Linked DNA regions of Alligator mississippiensis. The protein of the gene in region 4 purifies or fractionates together with the protein of the main gene of each other region. This does not show direct contact. Links are inferred from orthologs where the notes say so. Each region holds a gene or a part of one and is shown on either strand. Other genes may lie near its edges. The genes, in order: HNRNPDL, DNAJB6, ACLY and STIP1.

Evidence for each region.
Region 1: the proteins of STIP1 (region 4) and HNRNPDL fractionate together in Homo sapiens (co-fractionation; 3 studies listed by BioGRID, with this or other methods). This does not show direct contact. The link is inferred for Alligator mississippiensis from reciprocal best matches to the Homo sapiens genes STIP1 and HNRNPDL.
Region 2: the proteins of STIP1 (region 4) and DNAJB6 purify together in Homo sapiens (affinity purification with mass spectrometry; 3 studies listed by BioGRID and IntAct, with this or other methods). This does not show direct contact. The link is inferred for Alligator mississippiensis from reciprocal best matches to the Homo sapiens genes STIP1 and DNAJB6.
Region 3: the proteins of STIP1 (region 4) and ACLY fractionate together in Homo sapiens (co-fractionation; 3 studies listed by BioGRID, with this or other methods). This does not show direct contact. The link is inferred for Alligator mississippiensis from reciprocal best matches to the Homo sapiens genes STIP1 and ACLY.

The regions. Positions count from the first base shown.
Region 1 is NC_081825.1:146,137,080-146,144,626, forward strand, and holds the start of HNRNPDL (heterogeneous nuclear ribonucleoprotein D-like), read right to left. Parts: upstream 3,100-7,547; 5' UTR 3,002-3,099; coding exon 2,904-3,001; intron 2,106-2,903; coding exon 1,937-2,105; intron 1,855-1,936; coding exon 1,693-1,854; intron 1,218-1,692; coding exon 1,086-1,217; intron 957-1,085; coding exon 842-956; intron 116-841; coding exon 1-115. Other genes in the region: ENOPH1 (enolase-phosphatase E1), read left to right, coding at 3,833-3,916. UniProt on the Homo sapiens protein: Acts as a transcriptional regulator. Promotes transcription repression. Promotes transcription activation in differentiated myotubes. Binds to double- and single-stranded DNA sequences. Binds to the transcription suppressor CATR sequence of the COX5B promoter.
Region 2 is NC_081828.1:202,940,966-202,949,021, forward strand, and holds the start of DNAJB6 (dnaJ homolog subfamily B member 6), read right to left. Parts: upstream 3,207-8,056; 5' UTR 3,097-3,206; intron 1-3,096. UniProt on the Homo sapiens protein: Has a stimulatory effect on the ATPase activity of HSP70 in a dose-dependent and time-dependent manner and hence acts as a co-chaperone of HSP70. Plays an indispensable role in the organization of KRT8/KRT18 filaments.
Region 3 is NC_081827.1:162,979,214-162,986,996, reverse strand, and holds the start of ACLY (ATP-citrate synthase), read right to left. Parts: upstream 3,129-7,783; 5' UTR 3,046-3,128; intron 1-3,045. Other genes in the region: ODAD4 (outer dynein arm-docking complex subunit 4), read left to right, coding at 6,316-6,429, 7,325-7,456. UniProt on the Homo sapiens protein: Catalyzes the cleavage of citrate into oxaloacetate and acetyl-CoA, the latter serving as common substrate in multiple biochemical reactions in protein, carbohydrate and lipid metabolism.
Region 4 is NC_081838.1:4,559,809-4,567,309, forward strand, and holds the start of STIP1 (stress-induced-phosphoprotein 1), read right to left. Parts: upstream 3,109-7,501; 5' UTR 3,033-3,108; coding exon 3,024-3,032; intron 1,158-3,023; coding exon 948-1,157; intron 1-947. Other genes in the region: ADP-ribose glycohydrolase MACROD1, read left to right, coding at 5,831-6,056, 7,145-7,246. UniProt on the Homo sapiens protein: Acts as a co-chaperone for HSP90AA1. Mediates the association of the molecular chaperones HSPA8/HSC70 and HSP90.

The DNA.
Region 1 (7,547 bases), on a different chromosome or scaffold from region 4:
GGATAATCATATCCACCATAACCACTGTAGTTTTGATCGCTGTAAGTACTGTTGTAGTTACCATACCCTTGATCATAGTAGTTATTAAATCCTTGATTCCAGCTTTGTCCCTGACCTAAAAAAGTACAGCAATTATACACTGTAGTTCCACTTCCTACACTCTATCCCTCCCAAGAGAAGTAGCAAGCAATCTACATCAACATGTAGCTCCATTCTGTAATGGCTATGTGGAAAAGTCCTGTCACTGTGCAAAGCATCTAATGCTTTTGGAAGCGCATGAGGAACACAAAAACATGCAACATTCCAAAACACCTTGCTTCAAAGTGTCACATTGAGTTGCAAATGTTGGTGACTTTGGTTTAACTACTGAAAAGTGAAGAGGTAGCACACTCCTATTCATAAATCACCTAATACTGGCAAGACGACTCTTGTCCCAACATTCATATACATTGCATGTATTTGGAAACATTCCCCCCCCCCACTGTCAACAGATCATTATTACCCCCTTTCCACATTACCTGGATCACCATGGATAAAACCTTGAAGATACTATCTAGCTTTACCCCATATCTATACCTTTTAAAAGTAACAACCACTAAATTCAGGAATTTGCAGTCTCAAATCTCAACGCAAGTAACTAGTCTTCAGTTTACATTTGAGTAGCTGTGAAAACAACCTAAATTAGTTTTTATAAAATGTGAAGTCAACCAAGTCCCAGGAAGTTTAGTTTCCACACCTCGTTTACCCTGCTCATGTTTGTTCTGGAGCAACCTAACAGACAAACTAAAACCAAGCTTGGAGAAAAGCCCTTAGAAAGAGATACAATTTCCAACAAACATACCCCTGCCACGGCCCCTGCCACCACCTCGTCCACCAGATGAAGCTCCTTTTCCTCCTTTTTGTTGCTGTTGCTGCTGTCTGTATACTTCTTTGGGCTGTGCTACTTTGATCTCACACTGGAATGAGATAGGAAAGTTTAGCTGCATGCAAATGCCAAGAAAACAACATAAAACTAAGAATGCTTGTCCAGAACAACAAGAATTGTTACTTGACAGCTTTGTCAGTTGGACCAAAAACATCCATACCTTTCCAGAACCAATTTGATGATATCTGCTTTCCAATAATTTCTTTACTGGCTCTTCATCTGTATACGTGATGAAACAGAAACCTCTTCTTTCATTTGTCTTTGTGTCCATGGGAAGCTCAATATTTTCAATCTGAAAATAAAAAAAAATAAAAAAATCATTTGAAGTGTATCATTGTCACGGTTTTTACTCTGACTCACTGTAGTCTCTTGTAGAGAAACATCCACACCAATAATATAGTTTAAATAAAAAAAAAAAAAAATCCATTTAACTTCTTCTATTTATATAGCCGAAAACAGAACAAACTACATTGAAGTGGGGGAATTCCAGTGGAACCTATCTGTACATTGGGGAGTAGAGGAGGGGGCAAGGGAAAAACACAACCAAAAAATCCCCTTGCATCACTTGATGAGGTACACCACAAGTACCATGGTTAATTTAACTATTGCACCTCATTCCAGATATTGCTGGTTTATTGAAATTTATGAAAACCATAATTCCATGGAAAGCACAGATTATCCTCTCTCTTCCCAAACTTAAAACAAATTATCTAATTTATTAACACTGATCATGTAATTAAAGAGTCTCCAGAGCAGTCATACTGTACCTCTCCAAAAGCACCAAAGTACTCCTTTATTTGTTCTTCAGATGTGTCTGGACTCAGCCCACCAACAAATACTTTTTTGGGGGGCTCTTTTCCTTTTAAAGCTTTTGCCCTTTTGGGGTCTATTAACTTGCCATCCAACTTGTGTTCCTTAAGCTCCAGCACCTAACAAGACAATACCCAAGAAAATTTTCAGAAAGTTCAGAAGCGACAAAATTGTTACAGCCCCTAAACTGACAGCACATACCTTCTCAACACTGGCAGCATCTTTGAAGAGAACAAACCCAAATCCCCTTGACCGCCCAGTTACTGGATCTGTTTTAATTGTGCAGTCCACGACCTCTCCAAAACGAGAAAGATATTCAGTCAGATCTTTCTTACTTGTGTCCCAACTCAGGCCTCCAATGAACATTTTGCTAAAGAAAAAAAGAAAAAGGTAAGAGCAGAGCATTTGGCTAGTCACATCAAGCTTGGAAAGAACCAAGCCTATGTGGCAATTTCTCTAGCCATATTGGAGCCAGCAACATACCACTGGATCCATCCACCCCATCTTCAGAGCTTGGGGCTGCCTGCTGTACCCATGAGACCTACTTAGATGAAGGGGAAGGTCTGACACTAGACGCTGAGAGAGCACAACGATGGACATAATCCTGAGCAAGACTATAACCCTGGGGCAAGCAAGTCCCAGCACAGGTGCCAGTGTGGCACGGGAAGGTATTCTGCTTGGCACACATGCTTCCAGATAGACAGTGGGTAAGTGTTTGGGCTGCGCTGCCGCAAAAAGGATCAGGCTCCTTGCAGCTTGCTTGCTGCCCACCCCTGGCACACCAACACCTAACAAGGGGAGACTGTGGGTGTTTTTGGCACTCTGCCATAACCACAGGTATGGGGGCTCCCCCCACGCACCAATGCTGCCAGAGGGAAGCAGTGCAGGCCCGTGCCCGCGCACGTGTCCACCCCCCCAGCTCAGAAAACGCGCTCGCCCCGCCCCTTTCCAGGAGGGGGAAGGTGGCGGCTTGCCGCGCCCCAATAGGCTGCGGGTGACGTCAGGGGCAGTGATTGGCACTTCGTGACCCCGCCCCTCGGAAGCCAGGTCAACGGGTCAAGACACAAAGAGCCCCCCCAACCAAGGAGTGGGGGAGGGGATCACCACCCCCCCCCCCCCAGCCAGGCCCGGCTCGTGACAATCGTCTCCACCCCGAGGCCGCACGCACCCATCGTCCTGCTGGTTCTTGCTGGCGTTGATCTTGGAGCCCTCGGCGAAGTCCTCCGAGCCGCCGCCGCCACCACTCACCTCGGTCACATCCTCCATGGCGGGCGCGCAGAGACCGACACGCAGTGGCAAAGAGAGGAGGCGCCGCGCAGCCAGAGCCCCGAGCGGCAGAGAAAATGGCGGCGGAAGAGATCCGGGCCCCGCCTGCGCCGTACTTATATACCTGTCACGGCAGCCAATCAGCGCGGCGCGGTGGGGCGCGATCCGCAGCGCCCCCTGCGGGCGGCAGGGGGGAGCGCAGAATGGCGGCGGCGCGGCTAGGCGGTTATGGGCAGAGAGGAGGAAGCAGCGCGGAGCAAGCGGAAGAGCTGCAGGCCGCTCCGACTGGAGCCCCAGGGCAGGGGGCCGGCCCACACCAAGTCTTCTCTCGCCCCACGTGAAGGGAGAGCAACAGCAGCCGAGAGCGCCGCGCCCACCTCAGGGTTGGAAGGGCCTCTGTTTATGTAACCGCGCACGCGCCCCCCCACACTTGGTGCACTCAGCAGCCCCGCCCGCCCACAGCAGGCCGCACTGCCTCGCCCCGCAGGCACAGATGTCAGCAAAGCCCCGCCTTCTCGTCCCGTGCAGCCAATCGGCACTGCCCACCCCACTCACGTGGCCAGCTGGCTGCTGTCTCGAAGGTCCCGCAGCGGCTCGCGCCCCCTCCTCCGCAGCTTTGCGCTAAGTCCCGTCCCCCACGGACCAACTTCTACCCCCGGCTCCAGGCCTAGAGCCTTAGGGTGCCTGCTAAGCCCCACCCCCTCCTCCTATCCAGCCAATCGGCGCAGCCCTCTCACTCTCCGCTTGCCGGCTCCGCTTACTCGGCATCAACCTCGCGCGCAGCTGCTGCGGCAGTGGGCGCAGCTCAGCGCAAGGCGAGCGGGCGGGGCCATGGGGGTGCTGTCCGTGCCGGCCGCGGTCCGCGCCATCCTGCTGGACATCGAAGGCACCACCACGCCCATCGCCTTTGTCAAGGTGGGCCGGGGCCGGAAGCACGCGGGCTGCGGGCACGTTCGCTTGGATATCGAGCGCCGCGGGGTGTGGGGGAGGGGTCCTGGCTATAGCTCACGCGGAAGCGCCACGCCGTGTATTTTGGGTAGATGCGATGTGTTTTATTAGAACAACTACATAGGTGGAAAAAATCTTCTTTGGCAGCTTTACACACATGCGTTTCTGTGAGTGATACGGGGCTGGGGGGTGTGTGTCCCTGGCTGGAGCTTGCACAACGCGCACGCGTGCGTTCATGTGCGTGTGTGATAGAGGTATGCGAAGTTTGTGCGTAGTTGACAGCGGGGGTCTGTCTAGCTTGCACCTTGGATGTGTGGGAGGGTGCAGCTGTCTGGCATGCAAGTGTGTGCGGCTGTGGGGTGTCTCTAGCTTGGGGGGGGGCTGTGTGCAGTGTGTGTGTTGGTTTGTCTAGCTTGCACACATATGGCTGGATGTGTGGGTCTCTATCTGATTTGTACATGGTGTGGGTGTTGGGGAAGTGTCTTGAGCTTGCACCATGTGTGTATGAACCTGCCTTTAGCGTACCCTTGCACAGCATGCATATGTCTAGTTTGCACAGTGTGTGTGGGAGGGCCTGCATGTGGATCTGTCCCTGGCTTGCATAGTGTGTGCGTGTGTACGCACATGCACATATGTCTAGCTTGCACAGCACATGGGTGTGGGGGGTCATCTCTAACTTACACAATGTGTGGGGGGGGGGTCCATGTGTGTCTGTCTCTAGGTTGCACAGTGTGTGTGTGCAGGGGCTGCCTAGCTTGCACACTGTGCATGTGGGGAGGGCATCTGTATGTGGGACTGCCTACTTCTCAGAGTGTGCATGTGTAGGTCTGTCTCTTGCCTCCCCTTGTTGTGCAACTCCTTGCTGGTGTTACTGACATGCTGCCGCCCTGCCCAATGCTGTAGATTGAAATGCAAAGAGAAACGGCTACTGAAGAGGCCTCAGCATCTGCAGCTCCCCTCTCTCTTCTTCCCAACCTAAAACACCCACAGTTTTCAGTACCAGCCTGCAAAAGTGTGTAACCATCTCTGGCCTTTTAAGCCTCAGTAGCTCTGGCACACGCTGTCACATAAATGCAGTTTGTCACACGTAGCAGGCATGTACGCTTGGTTGTGATCTACTCACATCAATTATTAGAGAAACCAGGTCACTTAGAGAGAGATGCCTGAGGCATAGCCTGATTGGGCCATGACAGCGCTTACTAGCCAACACAGAGAAAAGCAGGGTGGGGGTTGCAAATAAAAAAGTTAAGTGATTTGGGGTGAACATTATGAAAATCCTACACAACAGCAACAGTCTTTTAAAATAAGTGTGACTTGCATAATTCTTTTAATCTGAAAGCCAAAAAAATATATACATGACTACAGACTATAAAAAAGAACAGACATTCATACTAGTTTACCGCGTGGCCTTTTAAATATATGTTTCTGAACACAGTGCTAACAAGTACTATAGATCACTTTGGACCTACCTAAGAACTCCGACACACATTGTACTCTCCCATTATGTCCATCCAGTTCTCAAAATATTGATATCTGTAAAAAATGAATTAAACATGAAATAATCCTTCATGTGCAAGGTGAGGATTTTATTTTGATCATTGCTGACATGCATGGAAACACATGAAGCAACATTATAATTTGCAAGTGTTACTTGCCCCCCCCCCCCCCCCCCAAAATCAAGTTGTTATGAATGATATGAATGCAAAACAGTACCATTACATTCATGTTTATTGCCCAAAGCAGCTTAATGGAGCATACATCACTTTAATTGTATAACAGTTTCTATAACAAATAAAAATACACCTCTGTATTTGGCAAAAAAGGCAAGAGCTTGCTTATGATAATTTTTTCTTAATATACCTGAATATTAATTTTCAACCAGGCAAGATGGTGAACAGTTCCTTTTTGGTAATGAAAAGACAGTTTAACCACCATAAACTACAATGCTAAATTCTTTTAGAATGGAAAAATCAATTTCACGAGTCCTTTGCTGCTTTTCTTGCAGGCCACTCTTTAAGACGAAATAAACCCATCAACTAGATGTTTTTCCTCTTTAATTGTGATTTTTTTTATATAGATGATCAACATCAAAAGACTCAAGATTTTGACTTTAAGGTAGCTATTACTGCAGGCAGCTACTAATCGTTATTAGGTGTGGCCTATATTTAAATTCTGCTAACATAGCTATGTTGGCCATTGATAGGAATGTAATTTTTTTAATGGCATAGCTGTCTAGGATGGCAAAACCTGCTTGGTGTTGCATGTTTTACTGACAAAAAAATCTTTTTTTATTGGTATAACTTTATTTGTGCTAAAAGGGTTTATACTAACATAGGAAACTGTATAAACATTTTAAAAGCAGATAGTTTTAAAATGTTACTTTAAACAAACTATTTATTGTATATGCTAGGGCAAGAATGTTTCAAGAATAACTTGCATGGATTTTTATAATTGGATGGGACTTTTGTGAGGTATACCTGAATTGCTTGAGTTAGTATTTTCTACATTGTGACATGCAGAAGATTTTTCTCTGTTTTCAGTTACTAATTTTGAAATTAAGTCTTTTAAGGGGCTGTGGATGCAGAGATGACCTTCCAAACATTATGCGAATGTATCTGAAGCTGCAATATTTATTTGAGTCTTCTGAGAGCTTCTTTCTGCATTGTGAACTGACTTCATTTTTTACTTGGTGCTAGCATAGATACCAATAATGTAAAAAAGGAGAAGAGTAGTATGAAGATTTATACTGTATTTTCCATAAAGATGGAGAGTTGAGTCTGAAGATTAACTGGAGAAGTGGTATATTGGGCAAGCAATTTAAAAATTAGGATGTAGGCTTATTAGTAATGTGGAAGGCACAGATTGACTTCTTTCCTGAAATGAGGTTCAGCTTTTAAATTTTGGAAATGCTAGATTAAAATCTTGGGTCATAGTGGACTGATTCATGGAATATTAAGGCCAAAATAAGCCATTAGATCATCCATTCTGACTTTTTATATCATTGAATATTCAAGTGTCCCATCTCTGATTTGTCAGGTTACATCCCACCCAGAACAGAACAGCCCTAAAAATTTAATCTCCCAACAACAGTTGGGTGACTTATTTCAAATAAGTTCATTGTCTCATTCCCTAGTCTATCAGACTCCTGTCCACTTCACAGCTGGCAAGTGTGGTTCTCCTTTTGTACAATGTTATTTTAAGACTGCATAAGAACAGGACCTGTGGGAAATGACAGATTGAAAAATTTGGGATACTACTGTTCTGGTTAACTCGCTTTACCTAGTAGCTTTTCAATCAAAAAATGTGTAGTTTAGCGTGCCAGTGGGTCACTTAACCTTCTAGAACAAGGGTGTTCAACCTATGGCCCACAGAGCCATTGCATGAGGCTCGCGAGAATCTCCACAAGTCAAGAAATATGGCAGCAGGGGAGTGGTGGCCATTAATACAGCCACCCCCCCAAATTCCCTGATCTTGAACTGGATCTGATATGATCCTGGGGCTAAGACTGACAATCAGCTGATTGGCAATCCCAGCCTTGGAGCTGGTCCCACAGCCCCACTATGCAGCTGGCAGCAGGCTGCATAGCAGGGACCCTATC
Region 2 (8,056 bases), on a different chromosome or scaffold from region 4:
TAGGAAACCAAAACAGCTCAAATGAGTCACTGTACCACAATCTATTTCCTTACTACAATTATTTTAAAAGTTTCTTATAGGGACTATCAGTTACTGCAGAAAGTTACTAAAGAAAAAATTATCTGTACAAGAACTGCATAGTTAAACTAAGTTTATGGCTACACAAACAAGTTACAAGATTCCCTGCATGTTTGTACCTACTTCATGGCAACCGTCCATGTGCATGCTCATCGCATGGGAAACGTGAGGTTGCTCGCCCCTCAGTGACGGTAGGACATTTACCATAAAACAAGAGTGGACATATGGACAGTTATCATGGAGTGGCTAATGCAACAAGCATGCATCCTACCATACTGTAAGACACCACATGTGGCCGCACCCTATCAAACTGAAAAAGCTAAAAGTTAGATGAAACCACAGTTCTCTTACTAAACATTAAGTTACAACTTCGCAAGTTACTGTTGGCAAGAGTTGAATCAAACCTACAAGCCTATAGTTCAGGGGTGGAACAGATCCAGCCCTGATGCTGCCCCTGGGTCTGATCCGACCTACAAGGCACACAGCACATGCCCATATTGAGACCCATCTGCAAGCCGGATCCAGCCCAAGGACCCATTATCTTTCCCTGCCCCCAGCATACCTGATGTGGCAGCTGGGAGGGAGGGGAAAGGTATCCACAGGCAAGAGGAGTTTGTTTCAACAAACAAGCAGTTCAAACAAACTGCTATAGTTTGTTTCACTTTCAGTAAGTGAAAGATATGCATTGATTCTGCTTTAAGTAAAAAAGTTACAGAAGAATTATAGGGGAGCTTCATAATTTCAACTAACCATAAAAAAAATCTTTGTAGGTCAGCAGCACAAGTGCTTCAGCTTACCACATTTCTGCAATTATCTTTCTCTAGTAGTTTTATTAAGCATTTGAATTTTAAATGTGTAAGCATTTTGGCCATACAACCTGTATAAACAGTTTTACAGATGTTTTGCGGGATATGATATAAAGATCATTAGCATACAGAAATTCAGGAAGAGGATAAAAACATTTTTATACTAACACGATTTAACTGAAAATCTCTTCTCCCAGCCAAAAATGAGAAGCCTCAAAACCACTGGCCTACAGTTAAGGTTGTACAACCACACTTTCTGCACATAACCATCTTCTGCCTGATGGTCCACTAGCAACCATGAAGTAACCATATCAAAGCAGAGTAAAGTTCACTACAGTGCAGATTCTCTACCAATTTATATCGGGCCAGTAAAGAGAAGGTATTTCCATTGTTGGAGATACTAATGCTGCCTCTTGTCAGGCATCTTTAGAGTAGAAGGTCTTTAAGGCAAGGTCAGCTTTCTGTTTTACTGGTATAACACCAAACCCAATTACATCTTGGTTCATGAAAAGAGCTCACAGGCACGAAGTAAAAAATAAATAAATAAATAAATAAAAAAGTCCCTCCTCCCCCTCCCTGTACAAGCCACTAACTACTAGTTACTCTGCTGACTGAAATGGAAGGCTTGAAGACAAAGAGGTGCCTCTTCTTCTCATAAACAGTTTAAGCACATCTATGGGAGCTAGACAATAGTGAAGAGTGACAGGACAGTTACTAGTTTGATCTGGTTACTGTTGCCATACTTCATGGTTCCTAGTGGACCCTCAGACAGGAGATGGTTAAATAAAAAGCATAACATATCGCTTAAATCATGTTGAGCCACCGGCATTTTGCAAAACTGAAGTCCAGAGTCTGACAAGTTGTATCAGTCTCAGAGACAAATCTTCTTAGAGTACTAGGGGGAGAGGCTGCTGCAGAGGACAGGGAGGGCATGGTGGCTGCTCCCCTGGCAGTCTTTAAGGATGAACTGGGAATTAGGGAGGCAACAGATTAAAGGACTAGAAAGTCAGCACTGGAACACACAACAAATAAAAGTGGCATTTATTAGACAGCAGAGCTGTAACAACTACAGAGAAATATTTTAGCGTAGAGATGGCTGAAAGCGTAGGGGGTTAGGGTTAGGGTTAGTCTCCAGTAAAGACTTCAAAGGAAGGGAAACAGTTTGGTTCAAAAATTCCTTTCCCCCCTCAAAAATTAAAAAGTGAAGTTTGTTGGGGGAAAAAAAAAAAAGCTTTAATGTTGCTCTCCTCCCCTTATTTATAGCAAAAAAAAAAAAACAGAAAACAAAATAGAAAAAGTGAAACAGGGAGTGGGAACCTTTTCCTTACTACAAAATAAGACTTTTAATGTTCACATATTCCATTAGTGTCAGAGCGACACAGTAGCCCCGCTGGTCCAGAAGTGATGCCAGAGGCAAGCACTTCTTCAGGCAGTATCTTTTATCGAACCTCCTACGTCCCTAGGTTCAAGGCAGACAAGACTTCCAAGAAATTCGTCCCCAGGCCTCCAAACATACTTTAGGTCTTTTTCAGCTCTCTGAAAAAAACATCTCCCTAAGAAACCCCTTGCCTCTCACATGTTGCACCAAACCATGAAAAAAATATTCAGTCAATTTTATTTTAGTTGTTTTGGTTTTATTTAAGTAACGCCCCCCTCCCCCGTTTTTTTTTAGGGAACACCACCGCTTTACTTTGGGGGCTTGTTATTGTGCCCCAAGATACCGGGCTAACGGCGGCGGCGGCGCTGGCGCAGCTGTTCAGCTACGAGAAGCTAGGAGCGCTGCAGACAAAGGCGGCTCTCGCCCGGGAAGCGCCCTCGCTCGCAGCCCCCGGAAGCCCCCGCGCGTGGGGCGCCGCGGCCCCTGCCCGAGGGGCTGGAGTCACCGCAGCCGGCTCCCGGCAAGGAGACCCGCCCGCTCCGCGGGCCCCACGCCGCAGCCAGGCCTGCCTGAGACGCGGGTTTCGGCGGCGGCCGCTGCTCCTCCGGCCCCGCAGGAGCCCGGCCGCTTCCCTCAGCCTCCGGGCTCAGCCGCGCGGGCCGAGGCGGCGCCGCTCCCGCCCCTGCGACACGCGCGCGGAGCTGGGCCCCGCGGAGGCCTCGGCCCCCGCTCCCCGCCAGGCCGCGGCCGCCCGTTGCCACCAACACGGTTGCTAAGGGCCCGGCCCCGCGCCGCCGCCCACCGGCGGCATCGGGCCGCCCCGCGCGAACCCACCTCAGCGGCGGCTCTGCTCCGCGACGTAAGAGCAGCGGGAGCGATGTCGGGGCAACTCTATCGCCCTAAACAAACAGGAAACACGTCACCACGACCTCACTTCCGCGGCGTCAGCTGTTTCCGGAAGCTTCTCGAATTTCCTCCGCATGCCCCTCCCTCGGCCCCCGGGCGGAGCGCGGCGGCGCCCCCTGGCGGCGGGCGGAGGCAACGAGCTCGGGCGGGACCCTGGGCCTCGTCCCCGCCGCGCCGTGCACGCTCCTGGAGTCACGGGATTATGTGAAGAGCGCAATGTGAACTAAAACAGCTCCATCTAATCGTCTACCTTGGAGCCACGAAACCTGGAGTTTCCAAAGCCAGAAGGCGTAGGACCGCAATCGCCCTTATTATTTAAAATCTCATCATTTTTAACCCTGTTGATTTCCACTCTCCGCACCCCTCCCCCAGCGCTTAGCTTTTGTTCTACCTCTTCTAAATCATGTCATTCAAGGGGGGGGTCTAAGGGCTTTGAATGAATCTGATATCTTTTATTAGACCAACTTACATTTTAAGTTCACACACACACACACACACACATTAATGAGTGGATTGAACCTCTTTGCAACTAGTCATTATAACTGTTATCCTTCAGCTGAGATCATTATGTTATGGGATGTCATTGAGCTCCTTTACATAAGCTCACAGGTGATGCCTCCAAATCAAAAACACGTCATTTGCCAAAATAAAGGCTTTGCTCTACAAAGTAGTCTTCTGGGTCTTGGTGGGCACACGTGTATAAGAAAGGCAGAACAATTTAAGTGAAGAGAAACGTACAGCAACGGAGAAGAAAGACAGGGAAGACAACCTGGAAAAGCCACAGGCAGTGTAATCCTGCGCCCAAAAGCTTGCAAAGAACTTTTTTCCAACTGCTCTGTTGGTCTAATACAGTGGTCACCAACCCATTGATCCCGGATCCTCTTTTGGTCAATCCTGGGCTGGGAGAGAGCTGAGTGCGAGCACGTGCACGCACCCGCCCTCGCCCTCGCCCCTGCAGTCCCAGCAGGTCAATCTGTGGGGAAGGGAAGGGAAGGGAAGGGAAGGGAAGGGAAGAGGCAGGGGCCAGCTCGAGGCCCTGTGGTGAGGCCCAGTCAGGAGCAGGAAAACATAAGTAGTGCCCCAGCCCAGCCGGGTGGTGGCAGGATTGTAGCCTGGGGGGCTCCTCCAGGGGCATGGGGTAGGGACTCCCCCCATCTCTGCGGGGGCAGCAGCAGCAGAGGCTGCTGCCGCTACACCTCGAGTCCCACTGTAGCTGTCCACGTGCCGGCGCGACTCAGCTCAGCAGCAGGGACTCGTGTGGGGGCGGGCCTGGCCCAGCCAGGGTTGGGAAGATCTGGTCATCCAGGGGCACCACATTCATCTGGCCACGGGAGGGGGAAGGGGGCATAGATCCTAGGGTGCCATTTGCTTGAAAAAAGTGATCTTCACCATAAAAAGGTTGGAGACCACTGGTCAGATATAAAAGATATCACTCTCGGGCATGGCGGCCACTCACGATACCTGCAAGTGTCTTGGCATTGCTGAGACCTCCACCCAGACAGAGCCCGTGACCCCAGACTGCAGGGTGTGGCTGCTGGCAACCGTACAAGGGGGCATCCCGACTTGTGGGGTATGCTCCCTGGTGGGGGCCCTGGAGGGCCGAATGTGGGAGCTTGAGGGGGAGGTACGTCAGCTATTCACCATCAGGGCCCACGAAGATTACATCGACAGCTACTGCCAGGCCCTACTCCAGGAAAAAGAAGAAGTAGAGAAGAATAAGGTGGAGGAGAAGGTGGCCACAGAGAAGGCTGGCCACAAAGACCTTCCCAGAGCTACCTGGGAGACAGTAGCAGAAGGGCTGGCAAGCCCTCCTGGCTCAGTGGGGACGTTGCAGTCCTCTTGAAAAAGAAAAAAGAGGCGTACACACAGTGGAAGCTAGGGACAGTCCTCAAGGAGGACTATACAACAGTGGTCCGCATTTGTAGGGAAATGATTAGGAAAGCTAAGCCAGCCACTGAGTTTAAGTTAACCAAGGGAGTCGACGACAATAAGAAGTCCTTCTTTAGGTATGTAGGGAACAGAAAGAAAACAAGTGGAAGTGTGGGGCCCGTGCTTAACACCTCGGATCAGCTGGTAACGGACACTCAGGAAAAAGCTGAACTCCTGAATGCCCACTTTGCTTTAGTATTTCACCGGACCAAGGGGAAACACAAACAAGATAAAGATCACAAGGGGCATGGTGGGAATGATAGCCTTCCCACTGTGGATGCTGAGCTCATGCAAAACTAACTAGAAAAGACATTTATAAGTCAGCAGGACCAGATGGACTTCACCCGTGAGTGCTGATAGAGCTGGCTGAGGTCACTGTGGAACCCCTTCCAGAATTTGTGGCACGCAGGGGAGATCCCTGAGGATTGGAAGAGGTTCAACATTGTGCCCATCTTCAAAAAGGGAAAGAGGGAGGACCTGGGCAACTATAGGCCAATCAGCCTAACCTCCATCCCAGGGAAAATCCTGGAAAAATTCATTAAAGAATCTTTGTGCAATACGCTCATTAAGGGTAAGATTCTGAAGGATGGCCAGCATGGCTTCATCATAGGTAGGTCTTATCTTACCAATCTCATCCCTTTCTATGAGCAGGTCTCTCGCCACCTGGACATGGGAGAGAAGGTCGACATTATATAACTAGACTTTCAAAAGGCTTTTGATCTAGTATCCCACAACATCCTTGTGGAAAATTTGGAAGATTGTGGGTTTAACTGCTCAACACTTCAGTGGGTGGAAAACTGGCTGCATAGTAGGACCCAGAGAGTGCTCATGAATGGATCTGTGTCATCCTGGTGAGAAGTGGCCAGTGGTGTCCCTCAGGGGTCCATGCTTGGACTGGTGCTTTTCAAGATCTTTATCAATGATTTGGATGTGGGGGTGAAAAGTTAGCTGGCCAATTTTGCGGATGACACCAAGTTATGGAGGAGTTTGGCCATGCCAGGAGATAGGTTGCAGATACAAACGGACCTGGACAGACCTGGACTCTACCTGGCTGTAGAGTTGGGCAGACCAGAACCAGATGAAGTTCAACACTCAGAAATGTAGGGTGCTCCATCTGGGGGCAAACAATCCCCAACATACCTACAGGCTCAGTGGCGACAATTTAACTTGCACCACAGCTGAAACGGACTTAGGGGTAGTGATCAGCCATCACATGAACATGTGCTGAGGAGGACAAGGTGCATTTCTTGTAAACTATCAAGATTCCATCAAAAAATACCCGTCTTCATCATCACCCAACTCCATCACAAATTTCTCCTAACTGAAACATGTTACAGGCCCCCAACTGTTGGTGAGTCACTTGGGTCCAGAGGAAGACCAATAGATTATTCTGGCTATTGTGGTTGCTGGTCTCAAATTATTCTGTCTGAGCTATTCCTATGTTCAGAAAGTTTTACAGAGACAGGCTGGGATTCTTAAGAGTCCTGAAGGAGACGTGCTCGATTTCCAGGGCGCCTAACTTCCTTAAGCCTTTTAGAAAACCCCAGGCTCAGTATCCATTAATGTATTTATTTTAATTGCTTGAATATCATATTTTCTATTAATTTATTGGCTTCAGAGCTCTGCAGCATAAAATTTTCTGATTATCCAGCAAAATAGGAACACCATGGGCAGGAGAGGAAGTTTCATCTCAGCACTGTTCTAATGGAACTGTGCAGTCAAAACTGCAGCTCAGTCTCTGTCCATTTAGTTCTTCTGAGATTATGGCATCAAAATGGTTAATTTTTTTCTTAATTAGGACTTGCTTCATGAGGGGTAGGTAAGGATTTCTGTAGGTGATATCTTTTATTGAACCAACTAGATGGTTGGTATAGTCTTAGAAAAGTTTTCTAATGCATTTTCATTCAGATCTGGGGAAAAAGCAGTCACTCCTGCACAGCCTGTCACATTCCCAGCGTGCATGGCTCTCATGCAGTAAAACCTATGGGGAAAAAGAAGGGAAATGTGATTGTAAAATGAGTGGTTTTACAATTCATAGATTCATAGATGTTAGGGTTGGAAGGGACCTCAATAGATCGAGTCCGACCCCCTGCATAGGCAGGAAAGAGTGCTGGGTCTAGATGACCCCAGCCAGATGCTTATCTAACCTCCTCTTGAAGGCCCCCAGGGCAGGGGAGAGCACCACCTCCCTTGGGAGCCCGTTCCAGACCCTGGCCACTCGAACTGTGAAGAAGTTCTTCCTAATGTCTAGTCTAAATCTGCTCTCTGCTAGCTTGTGGCCATTATTTCTTGTAACCCCCGGGGGTGCCTTGGTGAATAAAAACTCACCAATTCCCTTCTGTGCCCCCGTGATGAACTTATAGGCAGCCACAAGGTCGCCTCTCAACCTTCTCTTGCGGAGGTTGAAAAGGTCCAGGTTCTCTAGTCTCTCCTCGTAGGGCTTGGTCTGCAGGCCCTTAACCATACGAGTGGCCCTTCTCTGGACCCTCTCCAGGTTATCCACATCCCTCTTGAAGTGCGGTGCCCAGAATTGCACGCAGTACTCCAACTGCGGTCTGACCAGCGCCCTATAGAGGGGAAGTATCACCTCCTTGGATTTATTCGTCATGCATCTGCTGATGCACGATAAAGTGCCATTGGCTTTTCTGATGGCTTCGTCACACTGCCGGCTCATGTTCATCTTGGAGTCCACTAGGACTCCAAGATCCCTTTCCACTTCCGTGCCACCCAGCAGGTCATTCCCTAGGCTGTAGGTGTGCTGGACATTTTTCCTCCCTCTGTACAATGTAATTGCAAGACCACAAAATTGACAGGGTTCCTAGTAACAGGTATAGTACCCACAAGCATTCTTCTTTAGATCGTAAGATCTTGGGAGAAAGAAAAAGTCTCTTTGCTTCTTGTTTATGCAGCATCTAGTACATTGAAGCCCTGACTCCTGAATTCTTGTACTTAATAAGTA
Region 3 (7,783 bases), on a different chromosome or scaffold from region 4:
GGCTCAGCACCCCATATGTCACTGTCCTCCGCCAGCCCAGGGGGACTTATGGTCTCAAATTGCAGCAAGAGGGGTGAAGGCTCCAGCCTTCCATTAGGAGAAGCGTCTCTCCCCAGGAAGGTACCGGCCACCCAGGGAGCTGGTGCAATCGCCATCCCTGGACGCTTTTGAGCCCCGGGGGAGACAAAGCGGTGTCCGGAGCGATCGCGTGGGGGCTGGTGCCGCTAGGAGCAGGGGGTGGCCTAGATGCCCTCCCAGCCCTCCTGCGCCGTGCCTCTACCCCAGGGCAGGCGAGATCCGAGCTAGGCCCTCGCTCCCGCCGGGCCGGGCCGGGCCGGATCGGTGCATGGACCCCCGCCCCCGGCGGCGAGAGGAGAGGGGCCGGGCCGCCGCCCCGCAGACTCACCGCTCTCTTCTCAGCTCCGCGCCGGCCCAGCCGCTGCCACCGCCCCCGCCTTTTGTTGGGCGCTCGCAGCCTGCTCCGCCCGCCCCGCCCCGGGCCGCCATTGGGCAGCGCCGGCTCCACGTGGCCTTGCCTGAGCGCCGCCGCGCTCCCCATTGGGCGGCGGCGGTGGGGCGCGTCGCGGGCGGGGCTGCGCGGCCTGGCGGGACGTGCGGTGTCGCCCCCGGCGGCAGCGCGACCCCGGCCCGGCGGCCGCCGGAGGGGCGCGGGGGAGCTCCGCGGGGCGCGCTGGGGATAGGGCCGCTGGGCAAGGGCGGCCCCCGCGCTGGGTGGCATGATCATGGCTCCACTGCACCTCCCGTGGGCGGCGCTGGGCTGGGCCGGGCCCGCAGGTCACCAGCTGCTGAGGCTTGGGACAGGTTGGCACTGCACTACACTGCACAGCCGCCAGCGCGGGCCCCGAGGGAAGGGACCGCGCGTCTCAGGGACCCTGCCGGGCTTGCACAGCCGGGGACAGGCGTGGGAGCTCACCCCATCACGTGCCCCACTGCTCTGGCACCCGGCCCTGGCTAGGCAAAGGACCATAGAGTTGGGGGCAGCCCTGGCCTGGACTAGCTGCCCTTCTAATGAGGACCACGTGTCTGATGACAGGTGGAGCCAGTTGGTCTCTTGTTGATTACATGGGATCCCTGGATAAGCGAGGCATAAGGGGCATGTCTACATGAGACACTAGCTGCACAGACTAATGCTGCGCAGGAGCAGGTCGCAGCACCAACAGCACTACTGTTATTAGGCTACGGCACAGTGGTGTCACTGAAGAGGTGATCATCCACGCTACTGCGCAGTAACTGGTTACTGCGCATTTATTTAATACTTGATTATACAAGGACTAAATTGCCATCAATAATCAGCTTGATTATACAAGTACTCAATTAAATGTACAGTAACCATTGGGTGCAGTCACTCTCTGCAGAGACTCCCTATTCCCGACAAAGGGTTACTGTACCTGAAAGCTTGCTAAGAACTTTTCTCCAACTACTCGGTTGGTCTAATGAAAAAATATCACATCTGCTCAAAGAACCTTGCCTGCATATGTCCTTAGACCAACATGGCTACAACCAAAAACCCAGTAACCCCGACCCTATTCTTAAAAAGATCTTCCCAGAGCCACCCATCCTAGCCTTCAAACAAGCACCGAACCTCACTAACATCACCAGAAGCAAACTTCCTCAAGCCCAGAACACACCAAAAGGATCCAAACCGTGCCATGACAAGAAATGCAAAACCTGCCAACACACCTCCACCAACCCCACACTCACTATACCCCACAACAGAGCCATCAGCATTCCTGGATCTTACAGCTGCACCTCCAGAAATGTAATACATCTCCTCCAATGCGCCAAATGCCCTGATGGAAAATACGTAGGAGAGACCAAACAACAACTGCGCACCAGAATGAACACACACCGGAAATCTATCAAAGACAGGAATACCCAATTACCTGTGGGGGCACATTTCTCACAAGAAAACCACTCTCTCTCCAATCTCTCTGTCCTGATCCTCAAAAGAAACTTGCAAAACACTTCCCAGAGACAAGCCTATGAACTCCACTTCATCAGCCTGCTGGATACTAAAAAACATGGACTAAATATAGACATTGGATTTATGACACATTATAACCTGCCTAACATCTGACTCCCCAGGTCTCTCTCCACTATTCATCCCCCTTCTCTCTCTTCCCCCCCCACCCCCACCCCAGCCTGTCTCTCACCCATTGACTCCTTAATCTACATCTTCACTGACTGCCTGTCTTGTATGCATACCAGCCCAGCCCCTGGCTTTTTTACTTTTCATTCCATCCAGGAAGAGCTCACACCAACTGCTGAAACTTCTTTAGCCTGATGAAGGGTTTTTGAACCTGAAAGCTTGCTATATAACTATTCTCCAACCATTTGGGTTGGTCTAATAAAAGATATCAGATTCACCCAAGGAACCTTGTCTGCCAGTAACAATCGTGCATTAATGAACGGGTAGATGCACCCAATGTCCTCTTCCCTTTGTGCTAACCATGACCTGCTTTAGTCCCCTGTATCTGCAGTTCTAAACATTCATTTAAGGGGCTCTGCAATCTAGGGTCCCTGCCCTCAGCCATGGGTACTTTAGATTTGCCATAAATAATCACCTAGATTGACACCTTCCCTCAGTCCCTATGGCTAGTCACACCTCCCTACCTAACAACTGTGCTGAGGAACTTTCCCTGGGCCTGCCTCTCTATACTCCCAACATCCTCTTAGTTTTGCTCTAGTAGCATACTTTTCTGCCAGACCCTAGCTACATATTGCTTTTATCTAGCCCAGTAGTGCTGATCTGCCACAGACCAGAGTGCTGTTTAGTTGTAGGCATAAAGAAGGAAAAGAAACCCAAATAGAGTCACTCGTAAGTGTTGCTGTATCACCTGCTGCCTCATACGATTAAACTCTGGTTGCTGGTGTGACTATAAAAATAAAATTAAAAATGTAAGTAATGACCACTAGCATTCTGTGCCTAGAAGGGTTTATTCCTACAAAGCACTTCACTGAGGTGAGCCAATGCATTCTTTACAGGTGGGAAACCTGCTGAGGAAAAGAGGCCAAGTCACTTACCCAAGGTCCTGCAGTGCTCCAGAGTCGGGAGGAAAACCCAGCCATCCTGACTTCTTGTCCTCAGCTGCTCCTTCTTTAGATTATAGTCTCCTTATAGTTGGCATCATACCTTTACTTCTGATAAGCAGAGGAGGTAAGTTAATTGTGGCTGAGATTTACTTTTCTAGGACTATGGTACTTCACCCTTCCAAAGCTCTTTTTAGCAGGGAGCAAGCCCATGATCCTATAGTGAAATATGCCTCTGAAGAGTCTTTGCAATCTTTGGATTTAAGTATGTTGCAAACATTAATGACATCTTATAACCCTCCTAAGAACAAGATGTATTATTTTCTCAATTTCACAGATGAGGAAAACCGAGTGCTCCACATAACTTGAAGCAAGTTGCCAGGATGCTCATCAAGTCAGAGGTAAAGTTGTAACACAGCCTATTCTCGCAGTCCTTTTCCACACACAACAGAAAGTTTGCTCCTTGAGAATAATACTGTGATACCCACATGAATCCTTTCGTCACAAAGGATTGCTATGGATTATCCCAAGCTCCCTCTCCTTCCTTTAAGGAGCATAGGCTCTTCCAACCTGAACCCAAACCTTGGTCTAATCACTTGGGCTTTCCTATCCCTCTACCAAAGGACAAAACATCTCTCATACCAAAAATCCTCATGTGATGCTGTACAGGCTCTGAAACATTAGCAAGGATTAATATACACAACTACAGATACCAAACATGTCTTTCAGAAGCCAGCCACCGCTTTGATTTTTTTCACATGCTGAAGTTAAATGTTACAAGTGCTGTGATCATGCCCACACCCAGCCTGGAGTCACTAGTTCCAAATAATGTTTTCTGAGTATGCCAGAGGGACCACCACACCCACAATGAATCATTAGGCCAGGAGAAATGAATTAATCTTCAGCATCACTCTTAAGCATCCATCTTAGCAGGCCCCTATCCAAGGCTAAAGTACAGCTAAAACTAATGTTTTCTGGTAGGACAAGTGAAACAGCTGAAAGTTTCATCTATCATTTCTTTTTTGCCTGGAAGGACGATGCTTGTGATAGCATCAATAAGATACATTATGGTTAAAGGATGACAGCTGATCCCACCAGGCTATGGGGTTACTCAGCTGCAGACCTACCTCTGCCAAACTGTTGCCTCATTCAGAACCATTTAGGATGACAGAGTAGAAGAACCAGTTTATCCCGTCCTTCAGCAGTGACAACAAAATATTTTTCCTAATCACTTTCCACAGTTAGGCTACCAGCTGTGCCTACATGCCTGCCGTTCTTCCAGGGCTCCTGCACAGCTTAGAAATACTCAGCAAAGTGAACACAGACTGGATAAAGAGACTGCAGATTCTCTGCAGGTCAGGCCTGTTGGTCCAAAACAAGCTATTGAAAATACAAACAACCAGTATAAGCCATGGGGTACAGGCAGCAATTCTCCATAGAGTTCTCTGTAAGAGAGCTCACCCCCCATTTCCAAAGTCTCTCTCACTTCAGTATATTCATTGTTCCTTCCCTCACATGTAAAGCTGTGCACAGCTCTACCCTTGCCTAAATCTCTGCCCTCATCATCACCACCTGTGCACCACCTAACTTGCTTTCTTCATTACCACTTAAGCTTCATCCACCACTCGCTTCCTTTGCTCACTCCTGATCTCTCATGGCCCACACCTGGAACAGCGTCCCTAAACATGGACACAGTGCTTTTCCTCCCATCCTTCAGATCACTTCTGCAAGGCCACTAAACAAGGATGCCAAGTAATTCATTGTTTTAATTATCTGTTGCAGGATTGCTTGCCAGTCTAGTCACAAATTCACTGGGGCAAGAAGCTACACTGCTGCAATGCTTCTGTCTGCTAGCTCTGTTTTTAGTGTCTTATTCTTTGAAGACATTTATATGAGGAGTTATTTTGGAACAACTATTCCCTAGCATGGGGGAACTCTCTTATTCTGGAATTAGAGTGCTTTATTCTAATTTAGTTTAGTCTGGTTTGGATTACCCCTTTGCATTTGACCCATTTAGGATTAAATTAGAAACAAGGCTCTCTAATTCCAGAACAGAACCATCCTTACACCAGGAATCAATCCTAAACGGTTGCTCTTCTTTAAACTCAGACCCTACCTGAATTAGTTTCCCCATGTAAACAAGACCTTAAATTGTTAACTCTTTGGGAAAAGAAATGACTCTCCATACTTGTCAGCACAGTGGGGCCATGATCACTGGTTGGGGCTGCAGAATGCTACTGTAATACACACAATAACTGCCATGAGGCAAGAATCAGGACAGCAAGATCCTGGTCAAGGTAACAAGGGGTCACTCTCCCTGGCATTCTGCTTGGATGTGGCAGCACTGGGAACATCCCATACCTGTGACAGCCACGTGATTCAGATGGGAATATGCAATCTTCTGCAGCAAAAGGAGCTATACAAACATCTAAGACAGAAAGCCTAGTGTAACTCCCCTTTTAGGAACAAGGGGGATCCTGCCTGCATCTGCAAGGGAAGGGATGGGACCCAACAGAACAGGGGAGGACCTCAGCCAAGCAAACAAGTGAAGGCCCACTAAGCCTCCTGAATACAGGGTACAGCTCCCATGGTGTGGCTGCATGAGCCCTGCAGGCGGGTTGTGGCTGAGAGGCACCAAGCTGGAAATAGGGATCTGGGAACCAATGTCATGTGCATTGCAGCACCCCAAGAAGTCCTGGGACTGCCTGGGCTGGGGGCTGTGCAACCTGCTCAGCTGAAGAGGGCCTGAAGTGGGATAGAGGTGAGGGTTACTGGATGACAAGGCAGCACAGGGGTAGAGGTGGAAGGAGACTAAGGACCAGCCTCCAGGCTGAGGGGAGCATGGCTGGAAGGGGGGTGTGGGTGTGTTAGGGAAAGGGCAGGGGCGAGTGTGCTTGGGGTGGGGTGTGCGTGTGTGTTGGGGGGAGGGCAGGGAAGAGGGGAGCGTGGCTGGGAGCCGCGTGTGTATGTCAGGCGCCTAGAGGAAGTGCAATGGAGGGAAGGAGGTGAGATACAAGGGAGCGGGAAGCCGAGGGGAACCCCCGGCAGGAACAAGGCGGGAGGGAGGGGGTTGCGGAAGGAAGGGGAGATTGGAAAGAACCAATCGAAAGGGCGGGGGGGGAGAAACGCGCGGAGTCACTAGGAAAGACCCCTCCGCTCTCCCGTAGCACCGCGGGAGCGGGCTCACTGGCCCCTCCCGGAAGTGCGGCGGTTGCTAGGCGGCTGTTGCCAGGCTACAGCGGCGGCTGTTGCCAGGCCGGGTCGATGGCGAACGTGGAGCCAGAGGAGCTGGTCGGCACCTTCCCCAGCCTCATGGCCGAGGGCGCACTGCTCAGCCGGCGCGGGCAGCACAGCAAGGCGCTGCTCTGCTTCACTAACGTGAGGGCGCCGCCATGACACAGGCGTCATGAATATGCATGAGCGCTCCCCCCCCCCCCCCCCGGCAGGGTCAAGTGTCAGAGCAGGGGCCACGAGGAGGGGGCTTGAGGGGGCGGCCGCGGGGGTATTTGCCCCCGTGCCTGGAGCTGGGGCCCAAGAGGGGGATGCCAAGGGGACGGGGCAGGCAGTATTGGGAGAGGGGGGAGTGCTGCCCCTCTGGGGTAGCGCTCCCCACCCGCGCCACGGCCTCCCTACGGGGGGGTGGGACTGAGCCACCCCCCTCGCTACTAGCTCCCTCCAGCCTGCCAGCCGTAGGGGCAGAGCTGCCCGAGGAAGGCTACCTACATCAGCGATTCTCAAACTGGGTCCTTAAGACCTTTTCGAGGGGCTGGCTGGGCGCTGCTTGGTGTGAGCATGATAAACTAGAGGGATTTCAATTGGGCCTCCGTAGCGTTGCAGGTGCTCTGCCCTGCTCTGAGCTTTCTGAGCCCTTTGCAACAGAGGAGTTGCTCTGTTTCTTTTTTGGGGGGGCGGGAAACAAGTGGGAGACAAGAAAAGACAATTGGCATTTTCTGAGAGGTGCTTCGAGTCTCCGCAGGTTGACAACTGTTGATGGAGGGCAGGAGCTGGGACTCCTGGGTTCTGCTTTTGCCTCCCACTGCAGAGTCTCTCTCAGCACCTTGCCCTCTCTGTGACCCAGCTTTCCCCCTGCGGATTAATTACCTTTGCCTACCTTGGTGGGGAGGGAGGGTTGTGATGCTTGGGATGTGCCTTGAGTTTTTTGACCCAGAAGTCTCATCTACATGCAGTGCAGTTCTCCACAGATGGGTCCAACGTGTGTTTTCCATCTTGCTAAGCTTAGGCGACTGAGTACATCTCTGTGTTCGCACCCCAGGCTCTGCAGCTTCAAAAAGGGGATAAGCACTGTCTGGTTGCTCGCTCAAAATGTTACCTGAAGCTTGGGGACACAGAAAATTCCCTGAAAGATGCAGAAGCCTCTCTTCAAAATGACAAAACATTTTCCAAGGTAAAGAGTACTTGGGCAAGTGATAGGTGTACTGCCAGAAGCAAGGGGAAGCATCAGTTTCCTGCTTTTCCTACACTTTTTATTCCTGCACCAGGCAGCAATTTTTGTCTTGGTGGATTGTCTGAATTTACAATATTTAGTTGTTATGATCCTGTAATTGCATTCAGTTGTAGAGCTGCTACACTCTTTCGTTGCTAGCTCTGCTGCTTTTATAAGAGGACGTAGTTGTCTTGAGACATGATCATTTATCAAACTAAAATCCCACATCTGCCAGGAAGACTTGGGTTTCCATTAAAGTTAATTGGACAGGCTTAGGCTGTGTGCCAG
Region 4 (7,501 bases):
GGCCCCAGAAAGATGAGGACAGATTAGAAAGAGCCCAGCAGAGAGTGACAAACCTCATCAGGGGTCTGGGATACAGGCCTGGGAACAGGCTGGAAAGACTGGGATGATGGGAGTCTGGAGAAGAAAAAACTGAAGGAGGCTTATCCCTGCAGCAGGAAGAATGAGAGAGATGACTCCCAGTGGCCACATGGGACAGGACAAGGACAGAGATGGCAGCAGGGGAAACTGAGACTGGGAATGTGGGAGGATTTTCTGGCTCTGAGTGGGGGAAGAAGGAAAGTCTCTGTCCTCAGACACAGCTGGGCTGATTTAGCCAGGGCTGGTCTTGTCTAGAGCACCGGTATGGACTAGATGCAACACCCCTGATCCCCGCCACAGCCAGCCTGCCTTCCCCAGCCCACAGACTCATGGCCACCCCACCCCCACTACAGACTCCCAGCATGCTTCCCACCCCCTCCAGATTTCCAACCCCCATTGGAGAATCTCAGCTCTTAGCTTTCTCTTTCTTGACCACAGAAAAAACAAGAGAGAGACTCTTTTCTTGCAAAGGCCTCCCATCACGACAGCTCAGGACATTTTGAACACTATGCATTCCTGTTGGACAACCCTGGGTTTCTCCTGCGAGCTGCCTAATGATGCTAATGAGGCATCCCACTACATGCTTGAAAGGGCTTTGAGGAACTCCAGCACCTGGCTGTTTTACCCTATTGGACCCTTCCTGGTGCTGGTAATGGAACCCAGGTGTCTTCACAGCCCACCCATGCCTACATCTAACCAGTGGTAGGAGGAAAAAAGCAGTTAGGAATCAGTCCTATGATGTGTATGAGTTGTGCCCCAGCTGGAAGTCACCCCAGTTACCATGGGACTCTCCACCCAGGCACGGATGACTGGGGCCACTGGGGAATGACCCAGCCTCCGATACAGCTAGATCTGTCCCCCCGCTTCACCTTGCCCCACTCTGGCTTGAGCTCCACTGTCTTGCAGGCATCCTCCAGCGCTCTCTGATACTCCCCCTTCTTGGCGTAGGCTGCCGACCGGTTGCTGTAGAGCACATGGTTCTTGGCATCTAGCTTGATGGCCTCTGAATAGTGTTTGATGGCCTCAGCGATGTTCCCCGCGCTCAGCGCTTTGTTGCCTTTCTCCTTCAACTCGTTCACCTGAGAGGGAGGGAGAAGGGGATGAATTAGCCCAGCCGGGAAGTCTCCCAGGGGCCACTGGGCTCCAGACAGCCCTGTCCCTACCCTTGGGGTCTCGGTCAGCACATGGAGAGTATCACTGCAGCCAGCTTTGTACCAACTGCCTCAGCTTTCCCACCAAGATGTGAGCTGGCACCTCGAAGGCACAGCTGGTGTGGATGCTGGGGGAAGATACGAACTTCCCAAAGCTGATTCCTGCCTCCCCCTTTTGCCCTTCCCACAGGGTCTTGCCCTGACCCTAAGAGGAGGCAAGACCCTGTAGCCAGCGGCTGTGGTCCCAGCAGCACACGCACAGAGCAATTACAACCTCCAGCCTGGCTGCAGCCAACACCCAGTGCCTCTGGGGAAGGCTTAACCCCGCCCCCCCCCAAGTGGCAGAGGCAGGGCGGTGGCAGCCAGCACTGCCCCGCCTGAAGCCTGGGAAATCTCCACAGTAGAAGAGGCAGCGCTATGCCCCCATCAGCCCCAACCGACGACTGTAAGAGCCTTGAACCCTCCAGTGATGGAGAGTCCCTAGCTCTCCTGCCCTCTCTCCCACTGCGGTCCTGCTCCAGCAGTTAAGTTTTCCCTGAGATCCAACCTAAACCGACTTTACCCTCCAAACTAAGCCTCCCCAGCCTGGTCTATGTTGTGACAAGACTTCCAGCAGGGATCACCCGGTGCCTCTGGAGGCTGCAGCTGGGCAGAAGTCCAGGGAGAGCAGCTCCACAAGTGCTTCCCCGTTGCTAGAAAGAGGCAGCTCGAGCCAAGGAGATCAGGTAGGGAGGAACTGTGCCACGGGGGACAGCTGGGAAGCCATGCATCAGTGCCCACAGCTGCCAGGAAGAAGCATTTCTGACCCCCCCCCCCCCCAAAATGAGTCACTTGATTGCAGGTGCCCGCCTCTGCCCTGGTCTCCAGCCCCTACCTCGCTGCATCCCAGCCCCATCCGGCACCTGAAGCCAAGCTGCCAGCTGCCTTGTGGGGGCTGAGCTCCAAACCGGAGGCCACCCAGAGGGAAATAATTACCACTTCAAGGCCCCCAAGCAGCTGCCTGCGGAAGTGGAAGGAGCAGTAATCCCACACCATCAATACCCCCTCCGCCCCTGCCCAGCAGCCCCCGTCACAAGGGGACAGAGCTGTGCCAGGCTCAACCTCCCAGCCTGGATCTGCCCCAAAGATGCAGGGCTCGGGGCTGCACGTGTGGAAGCCCAGGCCCAGGGCCGGGGACCGGAGTGCAGGTGCGGAGGTGGGAGAACCGGGCACCTGTGAGGAGCAGGGAGGTGCCGACACAAACAGGTCTCAGCTCCTCCAGTCAGGCAGGGGCGGGCGGTGGCCCCAGCCCTGAGCAGCACCCACGGGGCCGGGCCCAAGGGAGGAGGGGGAAAACACGACAGGGAACTCGTTCCACCTGCCCCTGCCAGGGCCTCTTCAGGCTGCAAGGAAGCAGGCAACACAGCTGCCCCCATGCAACCCCCCCAGGCTGCCAGCTGCCCCAGCCCCCCCTGCACAGCTGCCCCCACATCCCCCAGCCCCCCCGCACAGCTGCCCCCACATCCCCCCCACACAGCTGCTCCCACATACCCCAGGCCCAGATTTACCCCAACCCCTTCAGTCCCCACCTTTGCCCCCATCGCCCCCTTCTCACAGTGTGGGGGAGCAGTAGAACCCCCCCCCAATGCCCCCCGCGTCCTGCCCCCCCCCGCCCAGGGGCGCCCCCAGAAGCCCCCTCCCGTGCGGCAGGGCGGGCAGCCCCTTCCCCACAGCCCCCATAGCCCCGCCCAGTAGCGCGCCCAGCCCCTGGGGACCCCTCAAGCACCCCCGTCCCCCCAGATCCCTCTTCTCCACCTTCTCCATGGCTCAGGCCGGTCCGCGACCACCGCTGCCTTCTGGAACCTGCTAGAAAGCTTCCCGGCTCCGCCCCCGCCGCCCCATTGGCCGCCGCCCGCGGGGACCCCACCGCCCCCGAGCCACGATTGGTGGGAGACGCTGTCCGTCCCGGCCCCCGCACCGCCTCGCTGGAACGCGGGGCCCGCCCACCCCGTCCATTCCCTCTTCTCATTGATCCTCAGTACCTGTCAATCAAGCCCTCTGCCGTCCCTCGCTCCCCATGCCTGATGTCATTGGCTCCCGCCTGACAACTGAGCCCCGCCCTCTCTCTTCCGATTGGCTGCTGCTCGCCTCTCAGCGTCCATTGGTCCAACGGCCTTTCCATCCCTCAAAGGCCCCCCTCCCATCCTGGGATTTTGCGTCCTTTCATTGGCTGGCCGCAACGCCGTGACGCCACGCCGGAGTGCGGCGTTCTGATTGGGCCACTCCAGAGAGACGTCACCGCCCGTGGTCCTTTAAAAGGCGGCGCTGAGCCGCTGGCGGGAAGTGTGTCGTGTGGGCACACTGGTTGTTGTGTTGCGCTGTTAGGTGGTCTCTGCCCACGTGTGACCTGGGGAGTTCAACGCGGGGAGCCCCGGGGTCCTGGTGCACTTGGCAGAGCCTGGAGGGCCTGTTCCTGGCAGGCAGGGGATGAGGAGGGGAGGTCTTGTGTTTCAGTCCCCACTCGTGCCCCTGCCCTGCAAGGGGAGCTTGCACAATTACTCGTACCCCTCCTGCCAGGTGCGTGGGCTTTCGCCTCCCCCTGCTCCAGCCCACTGGGGAGAGGTCCCAGGCATCCTGCTGGGTTTCACACTCCCCTGCCTGGCTCGGCCACACTCCAAAATGAGGGCTGTTGCCCAGGGAACAAGCCCCCTCTGCTTGGTGCTGCCCAGGCCCCCTTACTGAGGATGCCCCCCAAGGTCTTGAGGTCCTGTCAGATCCTGTTGCCTCTACGCTTCCAACCTCACTGGGCCTGCCACCTTGGCCCCAGGCCTTGCTGGGCCCATTTCTAGGGCAATGCATAAGTTGTGTAAGATGCGTGTGTCCCTCTGGCACTGGTTCCTATGCTTCATATGCATGACGCGTGTGTGCGTCTCCAACACTCATGTTTTGCATGCCTCCAGTACATGTGATGTCCCGTGCGTACACATACCTCACCTCGGCTCTTGGGCATTCACAATGTCCGTGAACCTGGTGCCCTGTGTGGTCACCACCATGCATGACTGCCAGCTCGGGATCTCGGGGAGAGGCTTTGGGTGGAAGTGCTTGCCTGTGGGACAGCCAAATCTCCCAGCGGAGCTGCCGGGGGTGGGAAGCGGCAGGTAACCTGGGCTCCAGTGGGTGGGTTTTAGGCGAGGGGGTAGGAAGGAGCCAGGACACCTGGGTCTGTCCTGAGATGTGGCCTGGGCAGGAGAGGGCTAGTGGCTTAGGGACCACTGAGGAACCAGGACTCCTGGGTTCTGTCTGCAGTAATGGGCCTGGGGTGCAGTGCCCACAGTATGGCCGGGGGAGGGGCTGGAGCCAGGATGCTTGGGGTCTTTCTATCCCTGCTGTTATCCCTGCCTCAGTTTCCCTGTGGTAAAAAGCACTATCCCACACCCCAGCAGGCTTGTGCAACAGCTTTGCACAGCTCATGTGGCCACCTCTGTTCAGTGCAAAGTGTCTTGTTCTCCTCTGTAATGGGTGCGCGGTTTCTTAATGTGGTTTAAGGTGTGTGATGGAAAGTTTTATGCTAGATGAGATGTGTGTATGTGTGTGTGTGTATGTATATATATATATATATATATATATATATATATATATATATCTTGTGCTCTTCTTCCTGCCTGGAGGTTTCTTTTAAGCTGATGCATGTTCCTCTGGCCCAGGGTTTCACATAGCATGTGGGGCTCAGCAAAAGGCCCTGACTGTCAGCACACAGGGTGTAGGGCTAAACATAGCCCATGGTTGAAGCAGCCAGCAAGATCAGGCAGCCACGAGCTATTTATAGCCCCCACCTCCCCAAGCATTGGGTTTAAATAGCCAGAGCTCTGGTTATAGGGGGAGGGGGGATATGATCCCAGTCCAACTCCAGCCCCCTTTGCAAGGGCATTGCCTTTAGAAGCAGGCAGTCTCCCTGCTTGTGCACAAGGAGGGGGCTGAGGGGGGCAGGCCCTGGAGGCTCTGCTCAGCATGCCAGGAGCTGTAGTTGAAGCCCTGGCTGGCTGCAAAGAGGTTTTGGGCTGGGGCAGGAGGTGGAAGGGGTCAGAGGTCGAAGCATGGGGCTGGGTTTCTGCTCCAGAGGGGGTATCGCACCGCAGGCAGAGAACCCAGGTGTCCAGGCTCCCAGACCTCCCTTACTCCAACCCCTCAGCCCCCACTTCCCTCAGACCAGGGGGAGGCCCCAGGCGTCCGGGCTCCCAGCCCCTTGCTCTCAGTCCCCAGCTCCCAGAGCAGGGAGAGAAGCCAGGCATCTGGGCCCCGGCCGTCCCTCCTCTAACCAGCCCCCCAGGCTGCACTCCCCTCCCGAAGTGGGACGAGAAGGTGCCTGGCTCCCAGCCCCCGTCCTCCCGAAACAGAGCCTCTGCACGGAGATGGGGTTAGGGCGGGGACTACATTTCCCAGCATCCTTTGCATTAAGCTCTGGGCAGAGCTTGCTCCTAGCCCAGCTTTGCTCAAGCAGGACGGATTCCGCCTTCCCTCCCCCCCCCCAGCTAAATACCAGGTGCAATAAATAAGGGAGAAGAATTTCCCTCTTGCACTCAGGGACCAACCAGCGCCGGGAGGGGGGGCATCTCTTTGCGACCATGCCAGTGGCTCTGTTTGGCATTCAGGCCCTGAGAGTGGCAGGGCAGGTGCTGGGGGGCTGGGTCGGGCGCCCCGGGGTGCTGGGGGCTCTCTGGAGGGGGGCAGTTCACTTGGGCGATTGCTCTCTACCCCGGGGCGCGCTCCGGACCTGGGCGGGTGCCCCCCCACTGCACATGGCGGCCAAAGTGGACCTCACCACTTCCACCGACTGGAAGGAGGCAAAAAGTAAGTGCCTGGGGAGGTGGAGGGCAACCGGGCATAGCCCCCTGCTCCCCCCAGGCCTGTGCCCCCTCTGGCTGCTGTAGGTGTGCCCAGCTCCATGCCCTGCCCTTGTCCCTTTGCTAGGCACAGTGTGGGGGTCTCCAGGCCAGGCCTGCACCAGTTTAGGGCGTGCCAAAGTTTAGGGGTTTGTGCCAAGGGGGTGGCAGGACTCTCCGGGCAATGCTGCGGTTTGTGCCAAGGGGGTGGCGGGACTCCCAGAATCCTTTGCACTGAGAGCAGCCGTGGGTGCTTGCCAGCAGCTGCTAGTGGTGCAAAGGATTCTGGGAGTGCCTGCCTGGCGCTGCTGGGCCTAGAGGACACTGAGGCCTAGAGGGTGCCAAGAAGCCCTGGGGGGCAGAGGGCAGGGCTACAGGTCACCATGGAAACAGGCCCAGTGAGGCCTGGGGCCTAGAGCTCACCACCGGCAGGGTGAGGCCTGGTGAGGCCTAAAGCCTACATGCCACCCAGCAAGGGGCCCAGGGCCTAGAAGTTGCCATGGAAAAGGGCACAGTGAGGCCTTGGGCCTAGTAGTTACCATGGAAATGGGTGTCAAGCCCAGGGAGGCGTGGTGGGGGCTTGGCGTTGCTATGGAAACAGCCCGGTGAGGCCTCGGACCTAGGTGTCAGGCCCAGTGCAGTGGGGTGGGGGTGGCTAGAGGTTGCCATGGAAATAGGCCCAGGAGGCCTGGGGCCTAGGACCGACCCACCCCAGAGGCCGGATGAGGCCCAAGGCCTTCTAGTCACTATGGCAACGGGGCCTGAAGGGACCCTTGGGGGACACTGAGGACACTTCCCTGTTGGGTGGGCCTGGGCAGCGCCAAGCTGGGGGCTTGTTCCCTAGGTGACAGCCGTCATTTTGGAGGAGAGCAGTGCCAGGCAGGGGAGTAGGAAACCGGCCGGGCCCTGCCAGGACACCTGGGTCCTCTCCAGCTCTGGGAGGAGAGTGGGGCTGGGGGGTGAGAGCAGAGGGGCCTGGAGCCTGGGACTTGTCCCCCCTGCTCCCCAACTAGTTTGCTGCTCTGCGCCTCAGTTTACCCATCTTCCCCCTTGCAGAGTATCTGAGTGGCCTGAGCCAGAAGCAGCGGCGGGAGCATTACTTCACCAAGGACTTCCTCCCTCTGAAGAGCATTGACACCTGGAAGAAGATGGCTAAGAGTGAGTGTCCACATGGAGACTTAATTTAGATTAAGCCGGGTTTGGGGGAGGGGACAGGTTGAAGAAGCAGGTGTTATATCCAAGGTTAACTCATAGGGCTGGGATAATGGGGGCTCGGAGCCAAAGCTCATGTGGGGAGGGGGCTGCAGGTTGGGAGCGAGGGGCACCGGTGGGCAGGTGCATGGGTTAGGAGTGAGGGGCACTGGGGGAGCAAGGGACTACAGGTCGGGAGTGAGGGGCACTGGCAGAGGTGGG